Linked DNA regions of Yarrowia lipolytica. The protein of the gene in region 3 purifies or fractionates together with the protein of the main gene of each other region. This does not show direct contact. Links are inferred from orthologs where the notes say so. Each region holds a gene or a part of one and is shown on either strand. Other genes may lie near its edges.

Region 1 (7,192 bases), on a different chromosome or scaffold from region 3:
CTGCTCCAACTCCAAGATTAACCCCCACCAACGGAAAACCGGATCTGCCTACCTCTCAACCGCCAGCTCCTCCTTCTCCACCACGGCTCAAAACCTTCCCCAAAGAAGTGTGGGAGACAGTGGGCAGGAAAAACAACACAAGACTAACTTACGATCCCGAGCTTTCCAAGGATAAACAAAAAGGCAAGAGAGGCATTTATGAGGAGGTCAAAAAAGGAGCATCCACAACTGAGGATCCTCGAAGCAAACATCCGCATTATTTCAAGACTTCCAGCAAGTCCAACAAAAAGCCGTATCAGAGATTACCGGTGCCCAGATTTCTGGTGAGTATGAAGCGATTGAATCTAGCACAATGGAGGTTTTCCTTTTGATCACTAACTAACACAGTACGACGCAAATTCTATCGCACCACCTCCATCAACTCAGATCATTGTCAAGGGTCTTTCTTCACTAACTACCTCTAAAACTATCACTGCCCATTTCAAGACATATGGTGAGCTTGAAGCCGTCAACATGGTAGAGGACCCTGCTACAGGTTCTTCAGTGGGAGCATGTCTGGTTCGATTCAAGGTGACGAAAAACAATTACGAGGCCGCCCATGAGTGCCTCAAAAAGGCCATCCGAGGCCAAAAAACAGGACGAATTGACCAGGCCAAGTACAGAGTGGAGCCAGATGAGGATGGAGCCAAGGCCAAGGATATCATCAAAAGAGTGGCAGCTCGAGCAGCTAAGAAAGCCATGCCTGTCAAGCAGCCTCCTACTGCACCTGCTGCAGACAAGTCCATCATGGAGAAACTGCCCACACCTGTTCCTTCAGCTCGGCCATCTCCAAAGGCAGCGCAGTTGATGAAAACCAGCGCATACATCTTCATTGCTGGTAAGTACCTACCGTCAGAAAAAGTGTTTGCATCTGATATTCGTCGGATTCTGCGTGACTTCGGCTGGTTTGATGTTCTCAAGGAAGGAGATGGTTTCTACGTTTTCTTCGACAACAACAGGGATACTGTAGAATGTTACGAGGCCATGAATGGCAGAAAGGTGAATGGCCACCAGATGGCTATGGCTATGATTCGACTTTCTCGAGTTGCTCCCAAGACCAAAGAGAGCGAGGAAAACGCCACCGAGCAGGCCCCCAAGCTCCCTCCTAAGGAAGAGGCCCGGAAACTCATCGTACAGGAGTTGGCCAATAGTCTCCGTAAGGATATTCGGGAGCGGGTAATTGCTGCAGCCATTGTGGAGTTTCTGAATCCAGCTCGATTTACTCATATCAAGCAGGATCCTGAGCCATCTGCCGCTACTGAACCCAACACTGTTAACGCCAGTGCCGCTCGAGTAGATACTCCCGAGCCTGTGCAATCGTCTTCTGCGATCCCAGGTTTCCTTCCTCGGTTCAAAATCAAGCGAAAGGGTGATCCGACCAAGAAGAAGGATGCCACCAAGAAGAACCGAAAGAAGATATCTGCTCGTCCCATGAACCACGTTCTCAACGACTACTACTCGGATGAGGAAGACAGCACTCGAATGTCGACTCCCATTGTCCCTGATACCTCCGCTGACGCTGCCGAACTTCCTATTAGAAAACCCCGCAAGAAGATCAGTCAGTCCAAGCAGCGAATTATGGACTTCAGCAGTTCTGAAGGCTCGAATGAGTCCGAGGAAGAGGAGGAAGTGGAGGATGATATGGAAGAAGAAGAGGACGAAACTGCGCAGGAGGAACTCCAAGAAGCATCGACTCTCGATACTTCCCAACAACTTACAACTGCATTCGGCGAGATTCTCGACTGGGCTCCTGCTCACGGTTTCCCTCAACCTGTAACAGCCGACAAAAAGGGTGGTGCTCTGACTACCATATCAGGTTTCCAGGCGCTGGTTAAGGACGACGAAGATATGGAGTTGCTCCAGGAGGCCCTGGAGGGTATTGAGCCTGAAAAGATCAACGGAGAAGCATGGACGTGGACCCATAAACATCTCAACGAGGCTGTAGCCAAGGAAAACGCAGAGTTCCCCGAACTGGCTGCTCCCAACGCGTTTGTTAACTCCACTGGCTCATGGAAGTCTCAGGGATACTTCAAGATCCCTGAGGCTGCCAAATCCGAATACCTGCCTCACCGAAAGAAGCTCAACATCCCCATCGACACGCTTCAAATGGAAAACCGAGAGAAAAAGAAGGAGAACGCCTCCAACTCGCGAGTTAACCGTGCCAACAACCGGAGGCTGGTGGCAGACATCAACATGCAGAAACAGCTGCTGTCCACCGAAACCGATGTGCTCAACTTCAATCAGCTGCGAAAGCGAAAGAAGCCTGTCAAGTTCGCTCGTTCAGCTATCCACAACTGGGGTCTCTATGCTATTGAGCCCATTGCAGCCAACGAGATGATCATCGAGTACGTCGGAGAAGTTGTGCGACAGGAGATTGCCGACTTGCGAGAAGCTCGGTACATGAGGTCAGGTATCGGATCTTCATATCTGTTCAGAGTTGATGAAAGCACTGTCGTGGACGCCACAAAGCGAGGAGGTATTGCTCGGTTCATCAACCATTGCTGTACCCCCAGCTGCACGGCCAAAATCATCAAGGTGGAGGGTCAAAAACGTATCGTCATCTATGCCTCGCGGGACATTGCTGCCAACGAGGAGCTCACATATGACTACAAGTTCGAAAAGGAGATTGGAGAAGAGAGGATTCCCTGTCTGTGTGGCGCACCTGGCTGCAAGGGATACCTCAATTGATAGCACCAGTAATGTATTTTTATCATGTCTAAAACAAGTACTGTATCCGCGAGTGTTTGCACTCGTATGCTATTCTATAGACTTCTTCTACATGTAGCACAAGCACAATACAATAGTACCATTAGTTCCGCCAATTAGTCTATACATGCTTATATCCATCTACTCTTGCTTCGACAGATCCAACGCGTTCTTAATCTCGTTGAGTCCAACTCCAGTACCCTTGCCCACAAAAGAAAATCCAATAAGCGTGTCTTCCCGGCCACGCACAATCTGCAGCCGAGAGCCCTCACGGGTGCTGGAAGTGGCAGCCTGCTCAACCTCTCCTTGGACATCTGCTAACAGCACACTGGCAGCATCTTCAGAGGTGTCCATCTCGTCGTCTTCGTAGGCATCAGTCTCTGGCTTGGGTTTGATGAACCCGAACGACCGACTGCTGTGAATGTCAAGGTCGTCGACCGGAATTGTGGTAAAGTCGTGGGTGAGAGTGATTCGTCCGGTATCTTCATCAATCTCCATCAGAGGAATCTCTGTATCCTTCAGAGCAGCCAGAACAGCAGCCCATACGTAGTCCTGCACAGGTCCGTTACGACTCAGGACAGTCACATTGGCATGCAAACACAGGTATCGCTTCTGGTGCTGGCCAGCGTCAAACACGGCCTCGTCTTCCTGTCCCTCCTTCAGAAAGTTCTGGAGCTCGAAGAATTGTTTGTTTGCCTTGCAGGAGAAAATGCCCTTTTTGAGCAGATCGGTAGTCTTTCGGCTCACCACCTGCTCCTCGTCGCTGGGAGGCCCCCCCATTGCTGCACTGCTTCCGTTTGCTCCTCGCAGAACCTCGACGTTAACAAAGATTCCGCCCTCTTCCTCAGACACAGATCCGGTAACACCACACACAATACTCATTCCATCGGCCTGGATCAACGAAGAGCCCCAAACCAGAGACGCAGACTTTTCGTCGGATCCCACGGGCTTCTTAAGACCGCCCAAAAAGTGGTTGATCTTTCGGTGTTGTGTGAAGGCTCGGTTTGTAGCTGGTCGCAATCCTTGGTTGAGATGTCTGTGTAGATATAGATCGGGCACAAGTCTCGAAAATACCTCCGAAGGGTATGTGATTGGCTCCATATTCGTCATGTTGTGTGTCGTTCAGTGTAAATTAAAGATTCTTCAGGCGTTGTGCATGATACGAAATATATTTTCGACGTAAACTTAGTTGTGGCTCGTCATGTGTAGGTGAGGGGTGTACATACTGTACATACTGAACAACATGATGGTTATAATATTGACATTGAAACGGAAGAACCGAGATCAAAAAAATATAAAAATATCGAGGGTGCTTGGAATGTGTCTATTCAAAAAAAACAACAACAAAAAACTCGAAATCTGCTCTCAGATATCTCCATTATTACAATACCTTTTCCAAGTAACCTTGAAAGAAGTAGTTGAAACTTGTGGGATTTTAGTTTGAACGTCTAGGGCCATCATCGTTGGACTCTTATGCAAAAAAAGGACACTTATGAAATATAAAGACAAGGGCGGTAGCTGTTACAGTTCTTTTTGGGCCCGGTCTGGATATCTGGCATCTCTATTTCATACCTTGAACGACAACATTGTCACTCTCATGTTCAAACAGCCACGTGATCGCATGACTCCTCGGCTATTGGGAGTGACCAGCGATGGGCTGCCGGTTACGGATGTACATACTTGTACAGAATGTGGGGTGCATGGCGTGACTTAACATGTACTTATAGAATCACCTGTCTTATATTGCAACGTTAGAACGCTCAAGTAACCAAATGTTCTGATTTTTTTTTCCAGCTCGCACCCTATGATGTCACTCTTCCCTCTCTGTGCTATTTTAGACTTTAAACCTCCATCACTCACATCTCATCTGCATCCCTGAGTTTGGTCCTTGCTCACTCTCGGAAAAACATTTCATTTAAACACCTATCTTTAACTACAACTCTCTTTCTGACCCCAAATCACCAACCATGCAAATCACAATTGTCGGCTCGCTCAACTACGATCTTGTCACCATCTCCAACAGACTCCCCAACGCTGGGGAGACCATGTTCTCCCAGGGCTTTGAGACCCACTGCGGAGGTAAGGGAGCCAACCAGGCTCTTGCTACTGCCAGACTCTCTTCCAAGGTCCCTGATGTGAACGTCAAGATGTACGGAAAGGTCGGCAAAGACAACTTCGGTACTCAGTTGAAAAACAACCTCAAGGATTCTGGCGTGGACGTGTCTGCCATCCACGAGCTCGACACCAAGTCTGGAGTGGCTGTCATCTTTGTGGATCAAGACTCTGGAGAGAACCGAATCATGGTCTACGCCGGAGCCAACGGCGAGTGGACTGAGGCCGATCTCACTGACGATCTCTTCGACACAGACATGCTCATCTTCCAGAACGAGATCCCCATCGACATCGTCTACAAGGCCATCGAGAAGGCTGGATCTAAGAAGCCCAAAGTGGTCTACAACCCCAGTCCTGTGGACGAGCGAGGTAACATCCCCGCCGCCGTTCTCAACAGCATAGATTTCCTCGTGGTCAATGTGACGGAAGCCACTCTCATCTCTGGCGTCGAAATCAACGAGGAGGCATCGAAGGAGGAGATCTGGAAACAAGCTGACCAAGCTGCGGATACCCTGTTCAAGATGGGAATCAAGGAGGCCGTTGTTGTCACTCTGGGAGGTAACGGTGTCATTTACAAGACCAAGACTGATTCTGGACATGTTCCTTCTAACAAGGTCGAGAAGATTGTCGATACTACTGGTGCTGGAGACACTTTCCTTGGAGGTTTCTCCACTAGCATTATCCAGGGAAAGACAGTCTCCGAGGCCATTGCTTTCGGAAACAAGGCTGGTGGTATTGCTGTCACTCGACGAGGTGCTGCTGAGGGTATCCCTTACGATCATGAGCTTTAAGCACATTTTAGACTAATAAAAATGAAATATAATGAATCCATGGTTGGTAAAATCGAGGGAACACATAACTGTATAATCTAGTCATTCAGGTACAAGTATAGCTTTTTGTTTTATTCTTATGATCCATTACTAGTTTTTTTATTTTTATTCTACATTTCCCAAGGTTACACAATGACCTTGCAACGGTGACTAAGCAGCCGAGTTACCGGCCAGTTGCAGCCATATCCTGGTGAAAATACGGCTTCCCGTCCGATCAGCCATAGTCAAGCACCAGAGAGCCTAGTTAGTATTGTAGTGGGAGACCATACGAGAATCCTACAGTAGGTGCTGCAATTTTTTTGTAGTGTTCTTTTTTTAGGCTAAGTGCTTGTCATTGGTTGGTCATACCTACCTCTACAGTATGTAGAGAGGTATGTATGCAAGTAGTTACCTCTACTCCTACTGTACTGGCAGTGGATGAACGAAGATCTTGAGGCTTGCTCTGACGTTCATGAAGTAATATAACCGACTACATCATGTACTTGTACCAGTCCTTGTACTGAACATTACTGTACATCATCCTGTTGGGATATTTCTCGATCTGTATCTTTATGCAAGGATGCAGCTCAACTTCAACCTTCGGTGGAACTGAGGGAGAAAATTGTGAGGGAGATCAAAGTACATGGACGAGTAATAAAAGATATGAGACTCAATAGTCGCCGGTGTCTACTGAATTCATCAACCTCGTTAGTATAACTACAGTAGTTTCTTAGACTGCTCGTATGGCTGATGACAGTGCTTAGATCTGAACGAAGAACAAGTAGCGTCTCCTTCCAAGAGAATAGGACAATAAACGACCCCAGAAGTTGCCCGTGTAGAGACTAAACAAAGTAGGATTACCCAATATCTCGATCTTTTCCTTAGTTAGCGTGTATACGACGTAACCCTACACACAGTGTCGGTACGAGTAACGGTCCGAGTACAGTATGTACATAATGCTACCTGTACTTGCATTGTAGTTGTAGTTTGGTGAAGTATGCACGGTCCAAAAGTAGCTCCAAGTACTTGAAATCTCGATAACGAAATACAGGTGAGAAAGGAGGTGAACACAAATGCCTCAGCTTCGGAGGGGACTAGGCGTGTTTGTCATGGCGACACCGTCGAATTTGGGTTATCGAGTACCGTCAATTTACAGCTCACGATCATTTCATTGTTATTTTCCCTCCCCCACCCCTTTTTTTGTCTTTTGAAAACCGCCTGATATGACCGATAATGATAGTGGCGTTATTTTTTTTTTTTTCTGCATATATATCCAGCAAGAGGGGGGTGCGTCAGTTTAAGTTCTACAGTAGATCTAAACGACAGTATGGGGGAGTAAATACAGAAACGGTGTAAGTTTTTCATACGGGAAGTGTAAGTGGTCTATCAGTAAGAGAATCAACTTAAGCAGATATAATAAACATATCTGGTCTTTGAAATCTCTCAAACAACGTATTGAACACCGCCATTACTCCGACTTTTAGTTCCTCCGGATCCACCCTACACACGTGACATCGTGCGGCTCA
Region 2 (7,090 bases), about 190 kb from region 3:
GCCTACAACGGAGGAATCGGCTGGCTACTTCACAACCAGTCCAACTACCACAAACTCACCAAGTGGGCTCTCAAATACAAGGTGTTTGACAAGGACAACAAGACGTGGTGGCACCAGCTGATTAAGCGGGAGTTTGAGACCCGGTTCCAGAACCAGCCCAACTACTCGTTCTACGAGGTACCCGTCGAGTTCAACACCTGGATTCTTTTCCGACATGTGGTCGATCTGATTCTCATGTCAGACTTTACCTGCTACTTCATGCTGGCCTGGTCCTGCGCTCTGTCCGTGAGAACCAACCAGCCCTGGTGGCTTGTTATTGGACGATGGCTCGCCGGAGCTCTAATGCTAGCCTTCAACCTGTGGGCTAAGACTGACGCCCACCGAGTCGTCAAGGATTATGCCTGGTACTGGGGAGACTTCTTCTTCCTCAAGGACATGGAGTTGACTTTTGATGGTGTCTTTGAGATGGCCCCTCATCCCATGTACTCCATTGGATACGCTGGTTTCTACGCCGCCTCTCTCATGGCCTGTTCCTACACCCTGTTCCTGGCCTCTCTGGCCGGCCACGCTGCCCAGTTTGTGTTCCTATCCATCGTTGAGAATCCTCACATTGAAAAGACTTACAACCCCCATCAGCCCAAGCAGCGACGAAAGGCTTCTCACGTCCGAGACCGATCTTCCATCCAGCTGGGGCTCGATCAGAAACAGAAGGATGAGCTGTCTGCTATTGTTGAGGGCGACGAGTCCGTTTCTATTGCCTCTACTCCCATTTCTACTACTTTTGACGAGCCGGAGACTGTCCAGAAACACTCCCTTCCTCCGTTGGTTGTGTTTAGCAACTTCCAGATCACTCGAGTCACAGATATCATGACTGTGGGAGCTGCAGTCTATACAATGCTGCTCTACTTCCTCCCTGCCAACCGTCTGTGGTACACTGTGACTTTTTTCATGGCTCTGTCTGCTCGTCTTTTCCACACTCTGGGTCTTGGAGTCATACTGCGACGACAGTCCGAGCGACGATCCTTCACCAAGACCTTCCTCAAGTTTGGAATCTACCCCTTTGAGGCATACGAGCAGTGGCAAGTGTGGTACAACGTCTCCACCGTGTTGTCCTACACCACATTTGGTCTCTTTTGCCTGCGACAGTGGAGAGCTCCTTCCACCGATCCTCTGTGGCCCCTTAAGTACATTCTTGGCGCTCTACTTATTGCTCTGCATGGCTGGACATCGAAGTCCATCCATGACTCTCTTGGGCATTTTGGATGGTTCTACGGTGACTTCTTCCTTGACCGAAAGCAGAACCTCACTTACTCCGGCATTTACAGATACCTCAACAACCCAGAGCGATTTTTCGGTATTGCTGGCATCTGGGGTCTTGCTCTGATGACCAACTCTCCAGGTGTTGGTATTTTGGCCTTCTTGTGGACTCTGGAGGGTATGGCATTCATCAAGTTCGTCGAGCAGCCCCACATGCAGCGAATCTACGGTACCAGTATCCGACACGATGCTGGTGTGACCAAGACCATTAAGAACTCTCTCAAGTTGCCTTCTCCCTTTGAGAAACGGGTTCGACAGTTCCAGGGATCCGTTGACAAGGTTATCAACGATACTCTGACTGTGGTCGAGGAGTTCATTGGACTTGCCAAGCCTACTCTCAACGAAGTTGTCAACGACTCCAAGATCCTGTTGCGACAGTACCCTGCCAAACTTACCCTTACTCGAATGCTGGATGTTCCCGAAAACATTGACACTGCCGATTACTCTGTGAAGCTCGTGGGCGGCGAGAAGTGTGCCGATTCCAACCGAATTTCGTACGCCTTTGGAACCCCCATTCATGTCAAGTGGCAGGCTTCTCCCAACAGATCGGCAAAGGACTGGATCGGTCTGTACCGAGTGCACGACAACACTTCCCCTGAGGTGACTTCTCTTCCCTCCAAGGGCCGATGGTCTGGAATCGACGAGACTGGCCATGAGTCGCATCTCGACGGTATTGTGTCGTCTTCTAAGACCAATGGAGAAGTTGTTTTCCGAGGGGACACACTCTTCTGGGAGTGTGGAGTCTACGAGTTCAGATACCACCATGCTGGCAAGCACACTGTGCTCAGCACCTCGGAACCTTTCGAGATTGTGGCTCCTAAGATTGATCTATCTGGAGAGGTGGATGCAAAGACTCTGGCTCTTGAGATCCTCCCCATCGTCCAGCGATGCTTCTCTCTATCTATGGAGTTCCCTCCTGAGGAAGTGGACGACTACTGGGCTCTTGAGGAACCCAAGGTGATCAACAGAGTGCAGGCTGCCGTTCAGGCGTATTTCAACGTTGAGCTGGCGCAGGAGGTGCTTCAATCGGATGAGTCTGTGGAGAATTTGGCTGAGCGACTGCTCAGAATTAGAGACGCCCTTAAAGGTCTTACTGTATAAAGGAGGAGAATGAATATGTATGAATAGATTGAAAATTGTTTGCAGAGAGCATATCTGGAAGAACGTGTGTGTGTGTGTGTGTGTGTGTCAACAAATATCGGATCAAGTGAAGAGCACAAACCAGAGTTGCGAGTGACGTGTAATTCTGGGCCACGGGCTACAGACCTTGACGTAGGGGTCTATAGTAGATAGAATGGTGATGACAGTACATTGATTGACCGCAATTGACACTTACAACTACGTAACATGTAATGTTCAATGCGTTATCTATGTAATATTATGTACCCGTAGTTTGGTTGGTTGTGTTTTAAACGCGACATCAAGCACCCTAGCTGCTGTATGACTCTGTGCACTCCTCCATTCACGTGGTCGGTGAACCATTCTATCGGTGAGGATACTTATGACACCCTCAGTATGTTGTGCCACTAAGTTTTCCACGCATGCTCACAGACTCATTCCAGTCATTCCTTATTGCTCCAACAAAACTCCATGCATGACTCCTCTGATCTCCCGGGCCATCTCCTCGGTCTTGTCGAAAATCTCCTCCATCTGCTTCTCGCTCACGTTACCGCCTTCAATCCACATGCCCACAATCTTCTTGCTTGCTGCCATGTAGGATACTACTCCGTCAATCTCGCTGGTAGGTGCTCTTGAGGGCGACACAGTTGCCTTGTTCTCATCGAGCAGCACACTTCCTGCTGTCACAATATCGGTGCACTCGAGACCGGAATCGGCCAGAGCGGCGCCAGCGCACGAAACTGCGGCAGCCACGGTGGTCTTGGTATTATTGGAAGAAGACAGAACTGATATGCTGACATCGATGGTGGACTTGGGGTACTTCTCGACCAATATGCTGGGCAGGAGAGAGGTGTGGACGTACGATGAAACGTTCTTCTGCAGAGAAGAGCTCTGTGTGGTGCTGGCAGATCGAATGTATTGGGTCAGCTGGGTGGAGCTAACCACAGCACTCTTACTCTCAATATCGCAGAGAGAGACAGGGAGAAATTTTGTGTCCACGTTCAGGATGGCCGATGTTGTGAACAGACCTCTCATAGGTCGAGGACCATGGACAATGGCCACAATTTTGATATCATCCAGCTCCAAGTAGGCCGATCCGTTTGCGTTTTCGACCACTCCGGTCTTGACGAAGATGCTGCCGATATCCAGGCTTTTCTGCTCAACCTCGGTCGGCTTGATGTTGTCCAGGGTGAATGGCACCGCGTCAGCAGGCCCCAAAACTCGTCTTCGGTCAGTCATAGTGTTGTGTGGTTGATAGTGAAACTCACAAATAAATTTCTGCACGATGTTGGTGCAGGCGTGGTTAGCGTTGGGAGCGAAGTTTATTTGGTAGATAGCTAATTACGTAAGCTGCGGGTGACCTGATTTTGATACAGCGTGGTGGTGCTGACTAAAGACTTCTAATACGACAAACATGTAGCAAACGAAGATAGCAAATCAATTGGTAAGCAACTAAAAGGCCCTTATGACTCAACCTTAAACCCAAACCTCCCTTTCTCTATATATAATGTCCTCAATTATTCATTGCTCCACATTATCTCCGTTTACCCTAACCCAACATCAAGGTTGACGACACTTAGTTCCACACGATTCCTTGCCACAGTTCAATCTACACTTACACAACTACCACTTTTGCAATGTCAGACAAGTCAGACAAGATGCAAATCGACAACGCAGGCGAAATTGATGAGTCCCTGTACTCGCGACAGCTCTATGTGCTTGGACACGAGGCCATGAAGAAGATGGCCAACTCCAACGTTCTTATCGTGGGTCTCCAGGGTCTGGGAATTGAGATTGCCAAGAACATTGTTCTGGCTGGAGTCAAGTCGCTGACTCTGTATGACCCCGGCAAGACCGAGGTTGCAGATCTCAGTGCCCAGTTTTTCCTGCGAGAGGACGACGTGGGCAAGCGACGAGACCAGGTGTCTCAGCCTCGACTGGCAGAGCTCAATTCGTACGTTCCTGTGCACGTTTTGGAGGCCAAGGATCTCTCCGAGGAGGAGGTGGCTCGATTCCAGGTGGTTGTGCTGACCAATGCTTCTCTAGAAGAACAGATTCGAGTCAACGAAATCACACACAAGCAGAATATTGGGTTTGTCAGCACAGACACCCGAGGTCTTTTCGGTAACATCTTTGTCGATTTTGGCTCATCTTTTGCTCTGATTGACGCCAACGGAGAGGAGCCCCATTCCGGAATCATTGCCGGTATTGACGAGGAGGGTAACGTTGCTGCTCTCGATGAGACTCGACACAACCTTGAGGATGGAGATTATGTTAAGTTCACTGAGGTCGAGGGTCTCGATATCAACGGTGACACTCCCCGAAAGATCAAGGTCACAGGTCCTTATTCGTTCAATATTGGTTCTGTTGACGGTCTGGGCACCTACAAGAAGGGAGGTCTTTTCACCCAGGTCAAGATGCCCCAGGAGATTTCGTTTGGTTCGCTCAAGGAGCAGCTGGCCAAGCCCGAGTTACTGATTTCCGACTTCGCCAAGATGGAGCGACCCGCACAGCTACATGTCGGCTTCATGGCCGTCCAGGCGTTCCAGCAGAAGCACGGTCGAGCCCCCCGACCTCAGAATACCGAGGACGCCAACGAGGTGCTGCACCTGGCCAAGAGCGTCACTGCAGAGTACCCCGACGTGCTTTCTGGAGGCGAAATCGACGAAAAGCTGCTCACCCAGCTGTCTTTCCAGGCCGCTGGTGAACTGCCCGCCATGACTGCTCTCTTTGGTGGAATGGCTGCCCAGGAGGTACTGAAGGGCTGCTCGGGCAAGTTTGGCCCCATCCGACAGTGGGTCTACTTCGACTCTTTGGAGTCTCTGCCCAAGGACGTGGCTCTAACTGAGCAGTCTGTGGCTCCCACCGGCTCGCGATATGACCGACAGGTTGCCGTCTTTGGTAAGGAGTTCACCGAGAAGATTTTTGCTGTTAAGACTTTCCTGGTTGGCTCTGGAGCCATCGGTTGCGAGATGCTTAAGAACTGGGCTCTCATGGGTCTTGGAAAGGACGGAGAGATCCACGTGACCGATAACGACGTGATTGAGAAGTCCAACCTTAACCGACAGTTTCTGTTCCGACCCAAGGATGTGGGCAAACACAAGTCCGTGACCGCTACCGAGGCTGTGGCAGAGATGAACCCTGATCTCAAGGGCCACTTTGATGCCAAGCTCGACAAGGTCGGTCCCGATACCGAGAACATCTTCGACGACTCGTTCTGGAAGTCTCTGGACTTTGTGACTAACGCTCTGGACAACGTTGACGCCCGAACCTACGTCGATCGACGATGTGTCTTTTTCCAGAAGCCTCTGCTCGAGTCAGGAACCCTGGGAACCAAGGGTAACGTGCAGGTTGTCTACCCCAACCTGACTGAATCGTACTCTTCCTCCCAGGATCCCCCTGAGAAGGGCATTCCCCTCTGTACTCTGCGATCTTTCCCTAATAAGGTTGACCACACGATTGCCTGGGCCAAATCCATCTTCCAGGGCTACTTTACCGACAATGTTGAGTCTGTGAATCTGTTTCTGAGCCAGCCCAATTTTGTGGAGTCCACCCTCAAGCAGACTGGTGACCAGAAGTCTATTCTGGAGAACATCAAGTCGTACCTGGTGGACGAACGACCTACGACTTTCAAGGAGTGTGTCCAGTGGGCCCGTCTGGAGTTTGAGAAGAAGTTCAACGGCGACATTAGTCAGCTTCTGTACAACTTCCCCAAGGACGCCACCACTTCTACTGGTGCTCCTTTCTGGTCTGGACCTAAGCGAGCTCCTGACGCTCTCGAATTTGATTTCAACAACCAGGACCATCTGGATTTTCTCATTGCTGGCGCTAATCTGCGAGCCTTCAACTACGGTATCCGAGGTGATGACCTTGATGTTTCTGAGTACAAGGAAGTTGTGGACAACATGACTGTGCCCAAGTTTGAACCCAAGTCCGGTATTAAGATCCAGGCCAACGAGAACGAGAGCGTCGACCCTGTGGATGCCGACTCCGAGGAGCTGACCCAGCTGGCCAACTCGCTGCCTCCTCCTTCTTCTCTGGCTGGTTTCCGACTCACTCCCGTTGAGTTTGAGAAGGACGATGACACCAACTTCCACATCCAGTTCATCACGGCTGCCTCCAACTGTCGAGCTCAGAACTACGCTATTGACGGCGCTGATCGACACAAGACCAAGTTCATTGCTGGACGAATCATTCCCGCTATTGCTACCACCACTGCTCTGGTGACTGGTCTTGTCTGTCTGGAGCTCTACAAGGTGGTGGACAAGCGAGAGGTGATCGAGGACTACAAGAACGGCTTTGTCAATCTCGCTCTGCCTTTTCTGGGCTTCTCTGAGCCCATTGCTTCGCAGAAGATGGAGATTGCTGGTGTCGAGCTGGACAAGATCTGGGGTCGATACGACATTCACGAGAACTTGACTCTCAAGCAGTTTTTGGAGTTCTTTGAGAAGAACTACAACCTGACGGTGACCATGCTGTCCCAGAACGTGTCTCTCCTGTACGCCTCCTTCTTCCCTCCTGCCAAGCTCAACGAGAAGTACGATTTGACTCTGACCGAGCTGGTGGAGGCCGTCACTAAGAAGAAGCTCGAGCCTCACGTTAAGACTCTGATCTTTGAGGTTTGTGCCGAGGACCAGGACGGTGAGGATGTCGA
Region 3 (8,663 bases):
TTAACTAATCAGGTGAGTGATGTAGATACTAACTCCTGGAAATGGAAAAATATTCAATTTCCCACCGCCTTTTGTCTACCGGAAACATGCACATCAATGCCAAGAGGCCAAGAGCTGACATCAAGTCTGGCTCCGATGCAGCCAAGACTCTAAATGAATTGTGGCTCTCTCTCAACTGCCAACTCCACCGAAACCTTCTGACTCCGACCAAGTTAAAGGAAGCTTTACTGCGCCAGACTCTGGTACGGAATGTTGAGGTAATTTGTCTTCAAGATAGGACCTGCAGAGCCCCAGGAAGAATGAGGTGTGAACGGGATTTTCCAAGGTCCTTTAGCTAACCGAGCATGGCAGTAATGACGCAAGATTAGCGAGCATCAAACAACCGTCTCACTTCGAGACAACCAGAACAGGCATAATCTCCCGCTATCATTGGCTGTCAGATCATGCTTCACAGGAAACCTACATGATGGTAGCATCGGCAAGGTGGCATCGAAGACCTTCATGTGCACGCTACCATTTCGAAAAGACATGCCAAGACGAGACACCTCGTACCACCGCTTAGAAGTGAACTGGTAAGACTTTCAAGGACTAGAGAGGTGCATGCGTCTCATGAAATAACTCCTCTAAGGACCTATGCAGGCTCTGATTACCCCTTGTTTTTTGTATAGTTACAATTACTCGTACTTCTGTCTGTACCGGAAGTGCTACAAGTAGTACTACAAGTAGTATGTACTCGTGCTATCGAGACGCATTGAGTTCGGCAGTTAACGGTTCCTTCTGTAAACAAAGAGGATCATGCTTCCCCCGAGTAATTCAGTGGGACCTTCATTGCGTACGCCCTCATTGTTCCAGCGGACCTCAAGAAGAAGTGGATCTCCTCCAAACGCCTATTTTGATAAACCTCAAGGGTTGGTGCTAAACTGGCAGGTTAAATTTCCTGGAACTCTACGGAATTCATTCCCGATAACCGTCGGTTCATGAGATAGCTGGACACCTAATGTTTCAACGGTTGCAAGAGGCTGAAAATTTCATTGGTTTTGATTCGATATGTATTGACAGTACTTATGCGGAACGGGCCGTCCACAATATCTCGCACGAGTTATACATGAACATGGCATACGAATGCTCAGCCTTGAACGAACACTTCGATCGTATTCTCGGTTGCCATTCAATATAGTTCATACGGCTCTAAAGGTGAAAATTACCAAGGCATAAACAAGCCACCCATGCTCGAACGCTACGAATCACATGTCTTGCTCGCACATTCTTCAGGATCTTCCCCACAAACTGAGGGGTATGATGGTATTGCTAGACACAGCTAAAAACAGCATTTAATAATCTCCTGTGGAACCACCCCATTTGAATAGACCCCATGCAGTGCTGCCTGAGATCTTTGTGTACTCCTGAACACCCTTGTCACCGTCAGCAGCTCCTGCTGAGAAGTAGAAGGGAAAGAGATGTTCAGCGGTGGGATGGGCAGCTGGTCGGTGAGGGTTCTTCCAAAGCTCTGAAAGGTTTTCCAGATTTTGCTCATCAGAAACAGGCACACTCGTGACATTCTCTACCACGTCCTTGACAGCATCTTCAAAAGGCTGGGAATACTCGGGCTCTCCACCATCAGCAAACTTACGTCGTTCTCGAAGATTGTGAACTGACATACCGGATCCAATTATCCAATATCCCTCATCTCTCAGAGGTGCGAGTGCCTTGCCGAGGTTGTAGAATCTCTCAGACAGCTGTCGAGGACTCAGATGGTCCACGTCGTCACCTGCAGGTTCTGAAATATTGATGATGGGGAACTTGAGGGCACCTTTTTCCTCACCAGCTTCTTCAAACATAACTCTGGAAGCGACCCACACGCCATGATCCCACTTCTTGTCACTTCTCAATTGGGCATAGTAGCCAGGGGTGTTATCAATAAGTTTGGCGATCTTCTCAGCAGAGGCATGGTTGCCCTTAGCCCAGAACTTCTCCTCATACATGTGGGCTGGGAAATTGAAGAAATCGTATTCGAGGTTGGGGTAGTTGTCGTTTTTGTCAGTCACAATTCCCACGGGAATACCCTTACCATTGACCTTGGGAAACTCGTTGTTACCGGTACCCTTGGGGTTCTCGTCCTGCTGGTTCGCACTTTCCCAGTGGGCCGACATAACAATAACGCCCTTGACAGAGTCGGGATTCTCCTTGTGTTTCTGGATCAGATCTCGTCCAAGATGTCTGAGATAGTCAAAGGCTCCTTTATCTCCTCCAGGGTGATTCTCGTACATGAAGGTGGGGCCTCCATGAGGAATGAAGTAGACAGGTGTGCGGGCCATTTTTCTTGGTATTGTAGAGTCGGATAAGAAGTTGTAACCTCATTAGAGACGAGGTCCTACTAATATATAGTGTTCGTCATAGACGGCCCCAAGCCACAATGAAGCCATGGCCAACATGCCATATGCACGGCGCGAGCTAACCCCACATAAAAGTAGATCGATTACCAATACATGCTCCTGTTGTCGCTATTACTTTTAGAGGGGAATGAAGTTTCGTGTTAATGATCCTAACCAAGAGATAGTGCGGAACCCAGTTACGCTGAGTGGAGGAGTTAACCGATGGAGCATTATTCACGCAAAATTGACCGTGACGTAATTAAAGTGCACGACTTCGAATGAAGTCGTGCACTTGGTCAGATTGATAAAATGCTCAGGCATGAACAACAATGCGATGTTGCTATCAATGTTAACAATCAGATAACCGGGTGCACCAAAGACAACGAATGAACATAGTACTTGTGCGTTCGTACACGCGTCGTCATGCATATGGGCTTCTGGAAAAGGGCTTGACTCAAATTTAGTAAGCTGTGACAAAGGAGGCAGCCTCCTTTCAGGTATTGTAATCACGAATGACTGCTGAGTCGTAAGACACCGGTGATATTAGGCAATGGGCCGCTAATGTTTAAGAACAATATATCCAGGGTGTGATACACGGTTACGATAGCCAAGCCCGTACTATCTCTACAGTGGTTACTCCATTTATGGTGTCGTCTGTAGTTCACTGTATAATCGCCTCCTGCCCATACAAATGCAGTATCGATATGAAGGAGTCCAAATAGGGCACTTGTAATTATTCGACGTGTTTGAGCCAAAAGCCCTCAATAACAATCTGCCGCAATTAGCCGGGGTCTGTCACACTTGGTGTCTTCGCCACCTTCGCGATACCACCCTCGTCACCTTTTTTGACTTATATTATAAGCTCTCAGATATTGCTCGTGGCGATCATGCACAAATCTGAAGTACAGTACATACACTTATACATGTGGCTTCAAGTGATGATGCCGTTGATGATTACGCTCCTTGATTTTATGTAACGTCCACCGTTTGAGATATATTGAAAACATATTCGCTGGTAACCTCTTTCTACCTGTAGTGTTGCTCTGTGCACGATAGCTGTGTCCTGTTGGATGAAATAGTTTCAGTATCAAACTCCGTGTTTCTTTACTGTAGTTGTAGGGTTAGGACCCCTTAGTCATGCATGCCATTTCCATCACATATCGTGCAGAACAGGAGGATTTGACTTGATTTACGCCATCTTCACTCATTACGCCGAGAGGAAGAGCGAAAAGCCTTACAACAAGTAACGGGCGGTTAACACAACGTGGCAAACACTCAACATAAAAGCATTTGATTAGGAAGTTGACGTGACACAGAAAATGGCAAACGACAAAGACCAAGATGGGTTCTTTCCCAAGTATCAGCAGCCCTCATTTGTCCTGCGCATGTGGGGCAAACTGGTACCCGCGGCCGATAACAAATATGCACTTACCATTGTATGTGCTGCTCAGATGGGTGTGGGCGTCTTGCTGCTAGCCTATCCGCGGAGATCAACTTTCAGGGCCAAATACGGAAAGTGGCCATACAGAGCAGTCAAGGCTACAGGCATCCTCACTGGATCAGCACTCATCGGCTGCACCGCAATATTTGATTTGGCACGCACGAGAAACCTCACATACGACCCCTGGGCCCAGCGAGCTCGTGCAGACCGAGTCAAGGCTCTGAAGGAAGGCAAAAAGGTTACATGGTGGTGGGGAGCTCACGATCACAAGCCTGTGGGTATGAACGAATACATGTCCGAGCTACGGGTTCTCTTGGAGATTAAGAAGATGCAATACAACAAGAAGAAGCTGGCGGATGTCGCTGAGAGTGGTTTCAAGCCCACAGAGCCTCTCCTCTCGTCTGATCTCTACATGGACGATATTTTGTGGAAGTACGTGCTGCCTCGAGTTTTCCCCGATGAGGTTCCCATATCCCCCATCTCTCGAAAACTTACAGAGGCCATGTTCCAGTCTCTGGGTCTCACATATGAGGAGCTGGTGGCTGCAAACCGAAAGTTCCGAGAAGGAGTGCTGGAGCAGGTAGAGAATCCTCTGTTTCTTGCACACCGGCCATGGCTGTTTGGAAGCTCTAGCAGCATGGATGCAGCCATCAAGGAGGTTCTTGGAGAGGGGTCCAACGACCCAGATATCCTGGAAGGTCTCTACAATGACATTGCAGAACAATGGGATGGATCCATCATGTGGGGCATCATTGCAGGAGAGACAGATGTGACCATTCGTCTGATTCCTGGAACCGATATCGTGGAGCTGGTGGAGGAGGCTGAAGATGAAGAATAGATAACTGGGTCGTTTGTATGAGCACCCATTGTACATAAAAGATTCGGTATAGACAATCTAGCTAGACGACCTACAAGTAATACAAGTATGCACGTCGTAGAACAGCACAAGCAGTATAGTAGAGAGAGATTTCGGTGGTTGCACCAAAGAGACTGACAAAAAATAAAAAAAATCCGCTCGTCGAATAGAGTAGGACGGATAAGAGAATACCTGTCTATCACTTCACCATATCCGCTGGACCCTCCAACTTCAAGTATAGTATGTACCGTATTACTACCCGATTTGTGTTAGCTAGCCCTAAACCTAATCGTAAATTATTTCTCTGTATATGCATCAATTTTCCAACAGCCTATTCCCAGTCCATTCCCATCACCACAACACATACAAGATGGAAATCGATAGTGTTGTGCGACTGGCCCAACAGACTGCCAAGGCTGCCCGTGGTCTTGCTTCGCACGACATCAAGTTCTACAGCTCTATTGATGACAAGGTGGCCGACAGCGTGAAGGAGAATGCATCACAGCTCATTGGAGTGGTCAACCAGCTGGCCCAGAAGATTGCCCCGAACGAAGTGGGATCTTTTCCTCCCGAGCTCGACACTGTGAACCGACACTGGAATGAGTTCTCGTCTGTTGTCGATGACCTGTACGAGAAAACCGACATTCAGCTCGGAAAGCTGAACAAAAAGGGAGACAAGGTTGAGATTGCCGAGTCCAAGAAGACTGGCCCTCAGACGCTCGGAGAGAAGATCCGAGTAGGAAATGCCATTCAGTCATCTAGCGAGATCAAGGGGCCGCAATGGAAGCCCCAGGAGATGTGGGAGGTCGACAATTCGAGAGACACTCCCTTCAAACCCAAACTCACCTCGAAACCAAATGCTCTGGAGCCCCTAGAGGACGCGTTCGAATTGGTGACTGAAGATGACAGACGAGATCACTACCCACAGCCCTACGCCAAGGAGATAATGGAGCAGCCCTACCCAGATGAGGTGTACGAGGAGACAGAGGTCATTCCTAACCGACCATGGGAGGCTGAAGGAGAGGATGAATACATCTACGTTGACACAGAGGAGAAACTCAGAGACATGGTTGACCACCTGAAGACCCAGGAGGAGATAGCCATCGATGTCGAACATCATTCCATGCGAACATACTACGGCATCACATGTCTTGTGCAGGTTTCCTCTCGGGAGCAAGATTACATCATCGACACCATCGCTCTCCGAAACCTCGAGATCTTCAATGAGGTTTTGACTGACCCCAAGATTGTCAAGGTTTTGCATGGAGCCACTATGGATATTCAGTGGCTCCAAAGAGATTTCGGTCTGTACATTGTGTCTCTGTTCGACACCTTCCATGCCGCCCAGGCCCTTGGCCTCAAGGGACACAGTTTAGCGTTCCTTCTCCAGCATTACGCCAACTTCGTCACTTCTAAGAAGTACCAACTCAGTGACTGGCGAATTCGACCTATGTCGCCTGAGCAGCTTCTCTACGCCCGAGCAGATACCCACTTCCTGCTCAACATCTACGATCAGCTGAAGAATGCGCTCGTGCAGAAGGACAAGATCGAGGGAGTTTTGGAAAAGAGCAGACAGACTGCTTCCCAGAGGTATGAGTACACCGGCTACGACCCAAGGTACTATCTCAAGTCGTTCGACTACGAGGGAGGTATCAATCGTCTCATTTCTCAGTTCCACATCACTGGGCCTAGTGTCTCAGTCGCCAAGGCTCTTTTCTTGTGGAGAGACAGCATGGCTCGAAAGGAGGACGAGTCTACTGGCTACGTGATGCCTAACTATCTGCTCGTTTCACTTGCCAACCGAATGCCTCAAACGCCCGAGGCTGTGTTCAGTGTATCCAAGTCTCTCCCGCTTCTTGTTCGAAAAAACGTTGAGGAGATTCTGGACGTCATCAAGGATTCCAAGGACGAGCATGTTGAGGTAGAGCAGGTTGAGGAGGAGCCCGTCCTCGCTGCCGAGTCTATTGAGGGGGCAGAGTTTTCTGAAATCGCAGAGGTCATCTTCCTGGCAGCCCAGGACGGACAGTCAGATATCACAGGCAAATTCGACTCTTCCAAGTCGTCTATTGTACATGTAAAGGAGACTGCTCTAGGTCCTCTTGGTGTTTCCAAGATTGATAAGCATATGATGGTTTTGGCGGTTCCCGTCGCACCCCTATCTGTTGACTCTACTGAATCTGATAGCGAAGTCCAGAACGCTGAGGAGGAGGTCAAGGTTGAGCAGGATGCCGCTGCTGACGACGAGTCTGATTACTCTGAAGATGAGCACGAGCATGCCAATGATATCATTATTGCCAAGTCTAACAAGAAGTACACAGCTGACAAGGAGGCTAAGAAGGGAGTAGCAAAGGAGAAGTCCGAGGAGTTCACTCCGTTTGACTACTCTGCTGGTGCTTCTATTCTCAAGTCCGACGATCAGAAGGCCGCCGAGAAGAAGGCTGCCATGACTGCCCGAAAACAGAAGGCCAAGGAGAAGAAACAGTTTAACCCCTACGAAATAAAGGAGGATGCCAAGGGTGCTTCTAAGCGACGAGGACCCAAGGATGGAGGTGCTCGATCAGTCCAGTACAAGAAACGGCGTACATAGGCAACAAACAACTTAAAGTACTCATGGAGTATTAAAATATATAGATTGTAATATACGGTGGATTTGATGTCATGTTTTTAAAGTGGGTGAGAGAAATATCAATGTTCGTAGCCCTTGTGCTTGTCCCAAGTTGGCCAGGGGTGTAATAAACAGAATAAACAGCCCCTACAAGTAGTCATTATGAGATGGCCTGTAAAATAATTCAAAACCCCACTTACAGTACATACGGTAATTACAGTGGGTGCTTGTTAAAGGAAACAACTGTTGTAGGGGGTCGCGAGAGCTCCATGTCTGCCGGGACTACCATGGCGACATGTTTGACTTTCAGATGGTTTCATTGTTACATTTCTAAAATGCAACGGCTTGCAACTTTACTTGCCATTGGTTTTTCTACTGTTTCAGATTCTTCTGGTGATTCCTCTACAAAACCATTCTCGTCGTAGATAAACCTCTAGTATCGCTATTCCAGCGGTTGTTGAGTTGTCCAGACAAAACTGTGGCCAATCAAAGGGTCCATTACTAACCGTGCTGCACCTTAACTCACTTTCGCTTGGTCGTTTTGCCACTGTGGCAAAGTAACTCCACACAGAGAATTTAGGTCCATGAGAACAAGGCCAAAGATATCAAAAAGACACAAAGAAATCCACACCAAGCAAACGTGGTTATGGGTTGAGCGATTTGCCAAAATACAAGCTACAATATGTCCTTTTGAATGTCTTCGCCTCCAGTAGATAATGCAGGTCCTGCATATTCAAAAGTCTATCCTTCTCGTCTAAGGCGGAACATTGCTTCCCTAACCCCATCCAACAAACCCATGTGACAGGTCACTCAACACTATTCTCACACCTTCTAGACAACTGAAAAACAACACATTGACAATGACTCGATTCTGCGACACCGTCAAGACACTCATCAAGGAGCCTTCCTTCTACCAGTTCACCGGCACCGTTGCTGGCTACACTCTGTTTGCTGCTGCCTTCCCCGTTGTTGCTGCCATTCACACTGCTCGAGGCGTTGCACTCCTGAAAAACAAGTCTCTTGAGAGCTGCGAGTGCGAGAACAAGCTGGCCAAGAAGTTCGACATCTCCAACATCACCCTCAATGAGTGGTACTCTCCTATCACCCTGCTGTTTCCCCTGTTCAAGCGAGTTGTTGAGCCCCTCGGACCCCTGGCTGTCATGTGGGCCCGATACACCGGTCTTGTCGGTGAGATGACCGACAAGGAGGTCAACTGCGTCTTCAACTGCTGGGCGAAAATCTCTCTCGGATACATCTACGTCACCGGTGCCATCTGCTTCACTGGTCTCTCTGTGTGGTCTTACCGACGACAGACCCAGCGACACATCAAAAAGCAGAGCATTGTTGGTGTTCCCGAGGTCACTCTCGCTCTCTTTACTGGTCTGCTCT

What was found.
Region 1: the proteins of YALI1_E05390g (region 3) and YALI1_B19567g purify together in Saccharomyces cerevisiae (affinity purification with mass spectrometry; 11 studies listed by BioGRID, with this or other methods). This does not show direct contact. The link is inferred for Yarrowia lipolytica from reciprocal best matches to the Saccharomyces cerevisiae genes RRP6 and RRP43.
Region 2: the proteins of YALI1_E05390g (region 3) and YALI1_E07306g purify together in Saccharomyces cerevisiae (affinity purification with mass spectrometry; 9 studies listed by BioGRID, with this or other methods). This does not show direct contact. The link is inferred for Yarrowia lipolytica from reciprocal best matches to the Saccharomyces cerevisiae genes RRP6 and MTR3.

Annotation. Positions count from the first base shown.
Region 1 is NC_090771.1:1,952,915-1,960,106, forward strand, and holds YALI1_B19567g (uncharacterized protein), read right to left. Parts: upstream 3,856-7,192; coding exon 2,887-3,855; downstream 1-2,886. Other genes in the region: YALI1_B19520g (uncharacterized protein), read left to right, coding at 1-323, 388-2,727; YALI1_B19576g (uncharacterized protein), read left to right, coding at 4,713-5,648.
Region 2 is NC_090774.1:727,245-734,334, reverse strand, and holds YALI1_E07306g (uncharacterized protein), read right to left. Parts: upstream 3,676-7,090; coding exon 2,887-3,675; downstream 1-2,886. Other genes in the region: YALI1_E07347g (uncharacterized protein), read left to right, coding at 1-2,418; YALI1_E07302g (uncharacterized protein), read left to right, coding at 4,074-7,090.
Region 3 is NC_090774.1:535,344-544,006, reverse strand, and holds YALI1_E05390g (uncharacterized protein), read left to right. Parts: upstream 1-4,979; coding exon 4,980-7,256; downstream 7,257-8,663. Other genes in the region: YALI1_E05416g (uncharacterized protein), read right to left, coding at 1,332-2,315; YALI1_E05403g (uncharacterized protein), read left to right, coding at 3,692-4,651; YALI1_E05353g (uncharacterized protein), read right to left, coding at 8,081-8,663. UniProt on the Saccharomyces cerevisiae protein: Nuclear-specific catalytic component of the RNA exosome complex which has 3'->5' exoribonuclease activity and participates in a multitude of cellular RNA processing and degradation events.